Saccharomyces cerevisiae S288C: one gene and its partners. The gene in region 1 interacts genetically with each later gene. Each region holds a gene or a part of one and is shown on either strand. Other genes may lie near its edges.

Region 1 (3,812 bases):
GAAAGCCACGTGCAGCCTAAGTTGCTGAAATTCATGGGGAAACCGGGCGTATTGAGCCCTCGTGCTCGCTGGATGCACCTGTGCGGCCTACTGTTTCCGTCCCATTTTAGCCAAGAACTACCATTCGACAGGCACGACTGGATTGTACTCCGAGGCGAGCGCAAAGCGGAACAACAACCTCCAACCTTCAAGGAAGTTAGATACGTCTTGGATTTCTACGGAGGGCCCGACGACGAAAACGGAATGCCTACTTTCCACGTGGATGTCCGTCCTGCCCTAGATAGTCTAGACAATGCTAAGGACCGGATGACCCGTTTCTTGGACCGGATGATCTCGGGTCCGTCCTCTTCGTCCTCCGCCCCTTAAATGATATACAGCCAGCGTAAGTACGTGTAAATAGCCAAGTAAGAAATAATGATGTCCTAGTGCAGCCACAATCAATTTCACTTTTTCATATATATTTTTCCACCTTATTATCACAAGGTGCACCTTTATCGTGTGCCACGGCGGTAAAAAACTACCTTCAGGGGTACGATACATTCTGTGCTGGCGACCACGGGGCTGACAGAGACACCCGTAGAGGCTACATTACTGATTTGGGAAATTTCCCAAATTGGAAATATCACCTCGTCGACGTGCTGCGGTGCATGGCTGTTTTACCCGTTTAGGAAAAAACTCGGCGGGTTTTCTTGACGGGCAAATGTCGCCATTCGTCTCGTTTGAACGCTTGGCCTGTAAAACAGCTAACTCATTCACTATCTCTATCCTGCGACCGTGATGATACCGAAAGTATGCTGATACAGATCGGTCCCTCATATCGCGATAGGGCTTTCTGAGCTCTCCTCCCCCTTCTTCCCTCCCCAGCCAAAGAGGCCGGTTTTCCTTCTGGGGAAGTGTCGCAACCAAACGCTGTGCTCAAACCCTAAATTGTGAACTTTCAAGAAAAAAAAAAAGAAAAAGTGAAAAATTATCAGGCAAGAAAAAGAAATTACCAAGCCTGCTCTCACTGTAATGATCAAGTTACATAAATTTACTATCGGATTAGTGTGTCCCTCTGCCACATTTCCATATTTGGCCTTGGGTTTTTGCCCTCATCTTTTTTTTTTCTTCCTCCTACCTATTTATAATTTGTATATCTGTACTTTCCTCGAGCTTTTAATCTTCTTCTTAAACATTTTCTTGTGTAGTATACTTTCACACAATTTCTTTCTTGATTTTTTCTTCTACTACTGAGTCTGCCAGTCAAATGGATTTCTGAGGAAAGAGGACTATACCCATTAGGAAACGAATTGCCCGAGTAGTCTCCTCTGCCGACTTAAACCAACCTTTTTCTATTTCTCTTTTCTTTTCTCCCTCTTTTTTCTCTGTACTAGCATCCAAAAGCAAGCATCCATCCGAGTCCCAGTCGCAATCTCACATCTCCAATTTAACGTATCCATTGCATTTCCTCATTCGGTTTAACTCCTCTGCATTTCTTTTCTGACCCATAGCATTTCTTACATTCCATTGCATCTCCCTTTTACTCTCGTTCAAGACACTGATTTGATACGCTTTCTGTACGATGGCCATATTGAAGGATACCATAATTAGATACGCTAATGCAAGGTATGCTACCGCTAGTGGCACTTCCACCGCCACTGCCGCCTCTGTCAGCGCTGCCTCATGTCCTAATTTGCCCTTGCTCTTGCAAAAGAGGCGGGCCATTGCTAGTGCAAAGTCTAAAAACCCTAATCTCGTTAAAAGAGAATTGCAAGCACATCACTCAGCGATCAGCGAATACAATAATGATCAATTGGACCACTATTTCCGTCTTTCCCACACAGAAAGGCCGCTGTACAACCTGACTAACTTCAACTCTCAGCCACAAGTTAATCCGAAGATGCGTTTCTTGATCTTTGACTTCATCATGTACTGTCACACAAGACTCAATCTATCGACCTCGACTTTGTTCCTTACTTTCACTATCTTGGACAAGTATTCCTCGCGGTTCATTATCAAGAGTTACAACTACCAGCTCTTGTCCTTGACCGCGCTTTGGATTTCGTCCAAATTTTGGGACTCCAAGAATAGAATGGCCACTTTGAAAGTCTTGCAAAACTTGTGTTGCAATCAATATTCTATAAAGCAATTCACGACTATGGAAATGCATCTTTTCAAATCACTCGATTGGTCCATCTGTCAGTCGGCAACATTCGACTCCTACATCGACATCTTCTTGTTCCAATCTACGTCCCCGTTATCGCCTGGCGTTGTCCTTTCTGCCCCTTTGGAAGCTTTCATTCAACAGAAACTGGCCTTATTAAATAACGCTGCTGGTACTGCTATTAATAAATCGTCCTCTTCTCAAGGCCCCTCTTTGAACATCAACGAGATCAAATTGGGTGCCATTATGTTGTGCGAGTTAGCTTCCTTCAATCTCGAATTATCATTTAAATATGATCGTTCACTAATTGCGCTGGGTGCAATTAACCTCATCAAATTATCTTTGAACTACTATAATTCAAACCTTTGGGAAAATATCAATCTGGCTTTGGAGGAAAACTGCCAAGACCTAGATATTAAATTGTCAGAAATCTCTAATACTTTATTGGATATAGCAATGGACCAAAATTCTTTCCCCTCCAGTTTCAAATCAAAATATTTGAATAGCAATAAGACATCTTTAGCAAAATCTCTCTTAGACGCATTACAAAACTATTGTATTCAATTGAAACTGGAAGAATTCTACCGTTCACAAGAATTGGAAACCATGTACAATACTATCTTTGCTCAGTCCTTTGACAGCGATTCATTGACTTGTGTTTACTCAAATGCTACTACTCCAAAGAGCGCTACGGTTTCATCTGCGGCCACAGACTATTTCTCGGATCACACTCATTTAAGAAGGTTGACCAAAGATAGCATTTCTCCACCATTTGCCTTCACTCCAACCTCATCTTCATCCTCTCCATCTCCATTCAATTCCCCTTACAAGACTTCAAGTTCAATGACGACCCCAGACTCTGCATCACACCATTCACATTCAGGTTCGTTCTCTTCTACCCAAAATTCTTTTAAAAGGTCACTGAGCATCCCACAAAATTCAAGCATCTTTTGGCCAAGCCCACTAACTCCCACCACCCCATCTCTAATGTCAAATAGAAAATTATTACAAAATTTATCTGTGCGTTCAAAAAGATTATTTCCTGTTAGACCCATGGCCACTGCTCACCCATGCTCTGCCCCCACCCAACTGAAAAAGAGATCAACTTCCTCTGTGGATTGTGATTTTAATGATAGTAGCAACCTCAAGAAAACTCGCTGAAACGACAAAAAAAAAATGCATTTAACAACAAATAAATTAAAATTTGCAAAGCAAATACGTTAACATACATTAATGATCTTTTTTTCTTTTTGTTTTCACAGGACTCATTATTTCTTTAAATATACTTATATTACATTTGCATAGAATTACAAAAAAAAAAAAATTATAAAAACGCACAACCTAAAATACGATTACTATCGTTTTTTCTCCTTACTTCCTCTAGTCACATTATACATTTTTTTTCATCCTTCACAGACGTATCTTAATACTAAGTGTGGATCAATATAATGGGTATAGCTTGAACATCTGCCCCTCTCTATCTAATGTTTTTTTCTTGAATTATTTAGTATTTGCTGTATACTAGTTTTATTTATCAATACAGACGAATGTTCAAGAATTTCTCATTGTTTTCCGCCAACATTTCTTTAGCAACATTCCAATCTTCATCGCTACCTAACACAACAAAATCCCCATCTTCGTCCTGATATTTGATCTTGGTGATTGGTGA
Region 2 (5,227 bases), on another chromosome or scaffold:
AATCATTCCCAACATGGACAAGGATGCAAGATATTTATTTCGGACTACTGATAGCATTAGAGTCATTTACGTTCTTTTTCCAAGCAACTGTGCTGTTCATTCAATGGTTCAAAAGTACTGTACAGAATGTAAAAGACGAGGTTTACACTAAGGGTAGAGCTTTAGAAAATTTACCAGATGAAAGTTAAAGGCGTTTTCTTCCTTACATTTAAAATGAATGCTAGCATATTTACATATATATATCTACATTAAGTTATATGTTTTTCCACTGTTTTATTTCTTATTGTTAGAATTATAGAAAAAAAATTTTTGTAAAACATTTCATTAGAAAAATTTACCATTCTGAATACGAAAGAACAAAATAAAAAATATGCCTATTTATGTGAGTATGTATATTACTAGTTATTTTATTGCTGTTACTATTATTATGCGAGAATGTTAAAAAAATAAAAATAAAGAGGAAAAGAATAAAAAATATAAAACTATGCGTGCGAGTGCTTTCAAGGGTCTTCATCTTCCAAGAGTATAGGATTATCTCTGCCCTCATCCCAAACAGAATCTTGAGACTGGTTATTTTCATCTCCATAATTAGAGAGAAGTTGTGCATTTGATCCCTTGCTTGTCGCGCTGGTTCTTGGAATACCCCTAGTTGGACTACTAAATGCCACATCATCAATATCAACCAACTTTTCGTTCAGTTCTTTGTCAACATTTTGAAGTATTTTACCAAGACTGTCATTATTACCATTACTTTCCTGAGTGTTGTCATGATTTTTTTCCGCTACATTAGGTAGTGAACTACCAATTAAATTGACGTCCGAGTCATCCCTGTTAACAATACCACTAGTATTTTTACTTTCAGAATTCACTCCTAACCTCGAATCTTGTTCTGTATCTGAAATTACAATGTTGGTATTATTGGGACTAGATTGGCGTTCCATAGAATCAGTCGATAGAGATTGAACATGCGAGGAAAGTTGTGGGATTTTTTTGCTTGGGTAAATCCTTTTAGGTTTAGGCGACGGCATCATAATATCATGGGTGGATGACAGGGCTTGATCGTTTTTTATTGGTGACGAAACGCCTTCAAACTGCTTAGCCCTCGTCTTTAAAGACGGCCTTCCAAAGTATGGTGACGTAAATTCTTCTTGTTCAGTTTCATTCGCACTTTCTGATATGAAAGGAGATGAACTCTTTAAAATATTGTGACGTATGGGAGGAGAAACGGATGCTGTTTCTGGAGAAGCAGCGCGAACGGGATCTTCATTATCAGTTATTATTTCACCGGTGGGCTGTCGTACTACGGAATTATGCAACTCTGTCGGCTCTCTTTCTGTTGTTGAAATACTGGATGATCGTGAGCAGGGAGGTTCCGAGGTTAACTGCGCGTTATTATCTTTACTGCTTTGATCTATATTTTCAATGATTTGAATTTCTTCATCGTCATCGTCGTAATTTTCATTATTGTTGATATTGGTGCTTTTTTTCTCCTCCATTTGCATAACTTCTTCATATAAATTTTCTTTTTTCAGATAGCTGATGTAATTGAGTTGTAAGAGTTTTAGAGTATGCCTTAAATTCTTTCTCGCACTATTTCTTTCATTTTTATCAAAATATTTATTAATCATTTTTGCGGTGAAGTGCTTACTTTTAATCTTAGAATTCTTCCATACATCAATTGTTTCCACCGGATTTTCAAAAAATTTTCTAATATTCAAAATAACATGAACACCACAATCGCTCATATTAGGTTGTTGTGGAACTGGACACGTTTTCATTTTGATTTGTGTTTTATCCAGTTGAATTGAATATTTATCAAGTGCATAGGATATGAGAAATTCTTTTATTGGATCAATTTCTCTTGAATGAGTTTGCCTCAACGAGTCGAAAGTCAAAATATTAACCAGAGGATTATTTATAGAAATCTCATCGGAGTTGATGGCATCGTTTTTATCTTTGTTTTGATGAAAATCCAAGATCGCATCCAAGTTTGTTATAATGCAACTAAACCAATGATAACTTATGTTAATTGGTATAACAACGTACTTTTTAGAAAACAAATCAGTATTGTTAACCCACTTTTTTACATTAGAATAATAATCTGCTGGATTACTAATTAGTTTCGTGTAAAAAAAAGAGGACATTAAGTGAACTTGCTCTCTTTTGATAATTGACTTTTCAATAGATGATTCAATGTAAAATTTTGTAAAAAAATCCAAAATGCTATCATTAACCCAATCCTTATTGAAAAGACACTTGAAATCTTGATTTGTTATAGTATAGCTTGAACCATCGTTGAATTTGTAACAGAGGCTAGGTTTAAACAGTTCTGGTGTTTCAAATTCCGTAGTTGCATCATCAAATTCTGAATTTGAATTTGAGTTTGCTGGATCCGAAACATCTTTAAATCTATTTGAACGTCTTAGTTGTGAAACTGCGTGGGATTGTAAAGTTTCTGTCCCGTTAGTGTTGTAGAAATCTGAGGGTGAAATATTCGATTTTGGAACAGATATTGAATGCTCTTTTTTCCCAAGGCTGGCAATACGAGTCCTTTTTGTTAAGGATTGCAAACCATGAGGTTTGTTTGATAAGAAATGAGTATGAATTTGCGGACTTTCATCATCATTAGTAGAAAGTTTAGTTTTTTTAAGTCTTAAAGAGTCGAATGCATTTTTAGTGGAGTTTATTGCCCTTTCCATGTTCAATGAAGGTGATGACGAAGAAATAGGATGAATCAGATGTTTTAGTCTTTCCAAAATCTGCTCTTTATGATCTAAAATTTCGACTTTTATCGACGAAGAATATGACATCAACAGGAATCTTTTAATAGACTTTATTTTTTTATTTGAAGCGGAGCTTGCAGTGGACCATATCAAGATGTTCGTGTTAATGTTGATTGAAGAGTTATTCACGTCTAGTATCATCTTGACCTTTTTCAGATCTTTTAAAATTATAGCCATAAAAGAGTTCTTCTTATCTAAAATTATCAATTCAACATCATCAAGCAGATTAACTTGTGAATTGTAGATCACCGATTGTTGAAAATACAATGAAAATTTCGGATGATTATGATCTGAGACAAAAGTCATTATGCATGGTGCTTTATGCCGATAAATTCGCAATGTTTTCGAATCAACGCAAGAAAATTGGCCGTTCAAATTTAGTTTAGTGGAAATAATTGAGCCATTTGGAGAAGTGCTCGCTACTGCCGGTTCCGGTGAACCATTCCCCAGATTATTAGACATTTGGAACAAAAGACCATTGGAAGTGCTTTTGAGTGATGAGTGTCTTTTCAAAGGAGAGCTTTGCAAAGGTTCAAAATCTTGATCTGAACAGCCACTGTTGACGCCTTCACCTTCATCATTATTATCAACATCATTATCCGACAATTCGATCTGCCTCTTACTCTCGCTGTTCATACTCAAAACTGGTAAGAAATCCTTTGTAGAAGCATTGTTTAGATGATCAACGATTTTCGGATCCTTACGAAAAGTGTTATATCTTTTGGGCGGTAGAGAAGCAGAGGACCTTGGAGAGCTGGCACGAGAGCTGTTCAAGGTGTCTAGCGGTTTGAGACTATTAAACTTGCGTTTTCTGGCAGACATATATGTGGGGTTTGATGTGCAATAAACATAGATATACGTGTATTATTGCACCTGGGTATGGGGTATACTGTGTAGTGTCCTTTTATCCCGCTCTTTATTTCTCTCTCTAAGAAGAAACGAATACACTGTAATGTAATTGGTTGTGATGTTTTATCTCTCTCTGATGACGTGATATCTTTTATGTTGTTTCACGATGTTCTCTTATTGTATTGTATAATAGTTTCTCTTAGTAGGAAGATAGAAAAAGGACAAAGAAGGCAAAGAACCAAATGTCATTTCTAACGACACGGCACGTGATTACTGATCTGATAATAAATGAAACAAGCCATACGTGAGAAAGTAAAAAAAAAAAGGAGGAGGGAAAAGAATACGAGTGGAAAATATAAAGGACTTTATATACTTTTCAGATTAGCCGCCGACGATTTTACTTACTCAGCTTTTTTCTATCTTTCAAAACGCTCAAAAGAGGAGCATACGACTTCGGCGGCTAATCTTCACCCAAGAAAAAAAAAGCGCATGCCACCACGACGAGCGGAAAAAAACAAAGCACCCAATCACCACCCTTCCTTCTTTCTTCGTGTTATACCCGCCACTTTTGTTCTGCCTGATAATATATTGATTATACTGTGCTCGGATTCCGACCTCTTCTTTGTTGCAGAAGCCATAAGCTGAACTTATTGCATTTGCTCAAGTGCATTTATTATGGCGCCGCGCCGCCGCTCTCCAAAATTCTTGTCCTTCCTCGTTTTGCTGGCAAGGAGCAAAACGAAGAGGAAGGTAGAAAAGAGAAAATTTGAACAAACAGGGAAAAGGGAAAGAGAAAAAGGGACACTTTACGCTTTCCTCGACTAAGTCAAGCGATCGCTATCATCACATCCATTACACGCATTTCACGCATACATAAATAGGAAGATCATTTACAACAAGCAGATTATTTTCAAAAGACAACAGTAAGAATAAACGATGGTATCTTCTTTGCCCAAGGAATCGCAAGCCGAATTGCAACTGTTCCAGAACGAAATCAACGCCGCTAATCCGTCCGACTTTCTTCAGTTCTCCGCCAACTATTTCAATAAAAGGCTGGAACAACAGAGAGCGTTCCTCAAGGCCAGGGAGCCTGAATTTAAGGCAAAGAACATTGTTCTATTTCCGGAACCAGAGGAGTCATTTTCCAGACCTCAATCAGCTCAATCTCAATCAAGATCCAGATCGAGTGTTATGTTCAAATCCCCCTTTGTGAACGAGGACCCACACTCCAACGTGTTTAAAAGTGGGTTTAATTTAGACCCGCACGAACAGGACACTCACCAGCAAGCACAGGAAGAACAACAGCATACTAGAGAAAAGACATCAACTCCTCCACTCCCAATGCACTTCAACGCCCAAAGGCGTACTTCTGTTAGTGGTGAGACCTTACAACCAAACAATTTTGACGATTGGACTCCAGATCACTATAAGGAAAAGTCCGAGCAGCAATTGCAAAGACTGGAAAAATCGATCCGTAATAACTTTCTGTTCAACAAGCTGGATTCCGACTCAAAAAGGCTGGTCATAAATTGTCTGGAGGAGAAGTCCGTCCCCAAAGGTGCTACGATAATCAAGCAAGGTGACCAAGGGGACTA
Region 3 (4,520 bases), on another chromosome or scaffold:
TCCCATTCCTATCGAATAATAATGTTCTTGTTGTTAATTTTGATGATCGTTTTCTCTTACTCGCTAAACAATATCTCTTTCCATATTAAGCCCATAAATATGATTACTTTTCTCGAATTACCACGAACGACATAGAGTGCCACATATCCCTTTTGTGCAACTATTATCCTTTAACGTGTCACGGAACGCGTCAAAATGGTAATATGTAAACAAAGGAAAGTGAAATCAAAACAAAACTAGGGCAGCTTCCAGTAATTTCCCAAAACAAACATATGTATATTATATATATATGTGCTTTGAAATGAATGTTACAAATGTGGCTATCTTCATTTTTTCAGCTAAACATTTATTAACCACCTCATGAGCTTTCCTAATAGTCCTTGATTCAGCCAATCACTTATAAGAAGCACTGCAGCTTGAGGCATAAACTTTTCTATACTCACAGTTGTTTGATAAAAGGCTAAAATATACAGTTTCTCCTAATGAAAACAACAAAATTTTCATACCATATCATTTCCTTGTTCAACATCCTTATTTGGCAATTTGTAAAGCTTAAAATAGTCAACTTCTATCCCGTTGAGCAAAGCTTTAGAGCCCGAAGGAGGATACAAAATTCGCCTCCACAAAGGCGCATTTATATCGCTTGTAAGCCAAAAGTCTTTAACATTTCTTTTCCAACCGTAATTTGTTGGTATTCTTGATGTAATCGAATACACATTATGTCCGGTGCTATCCTTGATGCCAATGGTTTCTTTTATAACCGCTAACCACTGATCCATACCAGTCACCGCGTAACAAACGCCAAAACAAGTGCGTGGTTTCCTTATCGTTGAGCCTGGGACTGGTGCTAGTACAGTATCATTACTCTCCTCACCCGGATCAATCGACGGCGCAAATCCTTCTGGAGTAGTATTGAAGTTTTCATTGAAAGATAACCCATCGGGGCCAATGGACTTACTCTCTTTCATCAAAACATTGAATTCTGTATTGGTCATTCCTTTACATATTTGAAAGGCTTGGACGAAGATCAAACTTGCAACCCAAATAGATTGGAGTAAAGCCCATAATAATATCAGAAAGACAAATCTATCATATATTAATCCCGAACAGAGATCTGAAGCGCCTAGGATGAAACATTTGCCATTTTTCTGGGATGTATCTTCGTGTGCATCTTCAAGTTCATCAAAATATTCCAGGCAAAGTGCAAGAAATGTGAAAATACCACTTTCCATTAATGTAATAAAAAATATAAATGCTTTGTGATTTTTGAGTCCGACATCATTAAAGATCCAAGGGCAGTAATGATCAAATCTTGCAACCACAGCATTGTTTAAGGGCGAAAATTTGCTTCTTAGAGGTTTTCTAATCCAAGTTTCGATACAAAAGTTCTTCGTATCAAATTTACCGATTTCGAGCAAGTTCGAGATTGTTTGTCGCACGTTCTCATGATCAGTTTCTTCTGGCAAACATCCTGGGTCCATAATAACAAGCTGCCCAAAAAGGTAAAATACAGAAACAAGTATTACCAGCATTAGGATGTTAGTATATTGTTCATCAGAAAATGTTCGAGGCATAACTTTGAAAAACCAAACGATAGTCACCCAAAGTAAAGTGCCAAAAAAAACACCGGATAACAAAGGTGACCTTAACAAGGTAACGTTGTGGACACCCATTCGTCCATATGACGGCAGAACGAATTTGTTCAAGCCTTTGTTAGTGGCAATGGCCAATAAAAAAAGGACAATGATTACAAACAAAGGGTTAATATGAGAGAAAAGAGCAAATGCGATTCCTAGAAATAGAAATGGCGTTATGAATGTAACGAGCTTAGCATGTTGACTTTTTTTGAACCATTTTTTAATGGGATAACCATGGTAGTCGAATCCAGAATGTGTTAGAGCCTCTCTAAGTGAGTACACAGTGTTCATTTCTTGAGCAATAGCAAAGCAATCTTTTCCGGTATCCGTTTTTTGGAAAAAATCTGCACCATCTTGAATCAAGTATTTTAGTACATGTGGTTGCCCTTTTACAGTGCCCCAGTGCAGTGGGGTGAATCCTTCTGTATCTGCGATCTTTATGCTGGCACCAAATTTCAACAATTCTGCTACAGTTAGGGAATCTCCCTGGTAAGCAGCCCATAGTAGTGAAGTTCTGCCCTTTGGGTCTCGGCAATCTATATCTAAAAGACCTTTGCTGACAACGTTGAATAAAACGTATAGAACTAGCATTATATTTGAGCTGTTCACAGATAAGTGTAGTAGATTGAAACCTTGGTCATCGGTCATGGTGGGATCAGCTCCATGCTTAAGCAAAAAATCGACAATGTACACGTACCCATACCTTGCAGCCCAATGTAATGGTGTGGCATGCAAAGCACCAGCCCTTGCATTGACATCAGCGCCTTGTGAAACTAGAAAATCCACTACAGAAAGTCTGTTATTAATACTTGCCCAATGCAAACCAGTGATATGTTCCGTAGAGTCACCGTCGTTATTAACTTCGAGCAACTTTCCATGTATCATTTCTTTGACAGTCGCTAGATCACCTCTTTGGCAAGCGGTATGGTAGCGAGTTAACAGAGGATCTTCTTCGGCCTCATCATTATGATTCACCTGCTCGTTCCCGCTTTCCTCTTCATTTCCTGATCGGATAGCCTTTAATGATGCCAACGAAGTAATTTCGTTAGAATCACCCAGACTAATATCTTCCTGTGAGTCGTTATTGCTAGGATCAACCGTTTGCTCTTCATTCGTCAAGGTCGACGCCCGTGGCACATTCTCTAATTCGTTCACCATCAATTAGCTACTCTGAACAAAGAAGTGTTTTTTTATCTAGACGAAACGGAAATGATATATTCTACTTCGTGGTTTGTAATCTACTAATCGACCGTATATATTCCTCGCTTGCACTTGTGTCTGTACATTACTTCGTTTTATAGATCGTTCAATATGAGGGTGTAATAAGAAAGTACGAAACAATGGGCTGGCTTTATCACCCGGAGTGTAGGGTACGGATGTTTGTGATCAGAGTAACCCAATGCTAAAAGTCGTTCGGAGGAATAAGCAGCAAAACGTGAATTGATAATATTATAGGAGCCAAAGTTCTAACAATGATAACGTCTCAACAGCTACATGAGCTGTCCATATGTGCATCTTCTTGCAAGTAATCAGCCGGTTTTATCACAATTTTTACCCACCGTGATAATCTGAGAGGGCGAAGTAGGTATTAGCCGTTTACATTAGAAAAATAAGGTAGTGGTAATAAAGCACACTACACATCGAAGAAAGAAACAGACACTACTACATCGGTGGGGGGTCATACAATAGAGGACCAAAATGAAGAATGATAATAAGTTGCAAAAGGAAGCACTTATGCGACTATCGCAGCTAAGATTTCCATTTGCCGATGCTCCAAGTATAGTACAAGCGCATCAAAAAGATGAACAAATCCAGGGCCTTTTGATTATGAAAGTGACTGAATTGTGCAAATTGATAAAGAGTCAATTGTTTGTTAACTCTTACCCTAAGGAACTGTCCATATTTGCCAAGCTCCTGTATTTGCTCTTTACTACAGGAAGACGTGGTAGAACGTTAGGTGAGGAATATGTTGACTTGACATACACTAATAGGAAGGGTACCAGACTTGCAGGACGGCTCAAAATGATTGTATTCGCTTTCGCTTATCCTTTATGTCCATATTTCATCACCAAACTATACAAGAAAATAATGAAGAACAACAAGGAAAGTAAAATTGAAGATACTGAAAGTGTTGCCGCGTTTTGTAAGGGCCTTTTAGATTTCATTTTAGACGTACACATGACCCTCTTTTATTTCAAAGGAGCTTTTTACAGTATTTCCAAAAGGATTTTTGGTATGAGATATGTTTTTAAACATATATTGTCAAAAAATGAGGCCAATTTTAGAGAAGAGGGCTCACAAAAGTACAAAGTATTAGGTTATATCCTATTAGCTCAAAATGTTATGAAATGGTACCCTGTCCTAACCTCTACGCTCGGGTCCTGGATTTATGGGAGAAAAAGGACCAATGATTCAATTACTAGGTCGTCTGTTGGTCTACAGGAGCGTTCAGAACATGAATCTATAGAAGGCATACCGAAGGAATCGCAGCTGACTCATATAAATTTGTCAGATAAAAACCAATTGCCATTTATTCCAGAAGCCTCGAGAAAATGCATCCTATGTCTCATGAACATGAGTGATCCTAGCTGCGCGCCATGTGGACATCTATTTTGTTGGAGTTGTCTTATGAGCTGGTGTAAAGAGAGGCCAGAATGCCCCTTGTGCAGACAACACTGTCAACCACAGGAAATTCTGGTCCTGCGGCAATAGAGGAACTAATCAATAATTTGACTACTCTTTTAGCATTGTCCACAGGCCTTTTTCAGAAATAACGCAGACGTCTGAGCAGGAGAAGTAAAACGCGAAGGGGAAATAATGCTTTTTAGTCTTGTAATTATATTAATTAATTAAATAAGTTTTTCTTTATCGGAATTTTATTTA

What was found. A genetic interaction does not mean that the proteins touch.
Region 2: of CLN3 (region 1) and ULP2, extra expression of one rescues a mutant of the other (dosage rescue), as found in Saccharomyces cerevisiae (2 studies listed by BioGRID, with this or other methods).
Region 3: mutations in CLN3 (region 1) and AKR1 together harm fitness more than expected from each alone (negative genetic interaction), as found in Saccharomyces cerevisiae (2 studies listed by BioGRID).

Annotation. Positions count from the first base shown.
Region 1 is NC_001133.9:65,270-69,081, reverse strand, and holds CLN3 (cyclin CLN3), read left to right. Parts: upstream 1-1,561; coding exon 1,562-3,304; downstream 3,305-3,812. Other genes in the region: holocytochrome c synthase CYC3, read left to right, coding at 1-366; Rho family guanine nucleotide exchange factor CDC24, read right to left, coding at 3,678-3,812. UniProt on the Saccharomyces cerevisiae protein: Essential for the control of the cell cycle at the G1/S (start) transition. CLN3 may be an upstream activator of the G1 cyclins which directly catalyze start.
Region 2 is NC_001141.2:291,011-296,237, reverse strand, and holds ULP2 (SUMO protease ULP2), read right to left. Parts: upstream 3,606-5,227; coding exon 501-3,605; downstream 1-500. Other genes in the region: E3 ubiquitin-protein ligase SSM4, read left to right, coding at 1-188; cAMP-dependent protein kinase regulatory subunit BCY1, read left to right, coding at 4,569-5,227. UniProt on the Saccharomyces cerevisiae protein: Insertion mutation in SMT4 confers temperature and benomyl sensitivity; high copy suppressor of a temperature sensitive mutation in MIF2.
Region 3 is NC_001136.10:995,529-1,000,048, forward strand, and holds AKR1 (palmitoyltransferase AKR1), read right to left. Parts: upstream 2,796-4,520; coding exon 501-2,795; downstream 1-500. Other genes in the region: exodeoxyribonuclease DIN7, read right to left, coding at 1-6; PEX10 (ubiquitin-protein ligase peroxin 10), read left to right, coding at 3,336-4,349. UniProt on the Saccharomyces cerevisiae protein: Palmitoyltransferase specific for casein kinase 1. Palmitoylates isoforms YCK1 and YCK2 at both C-terminal cysteine residues, which is required for their proper plasma membrane localization.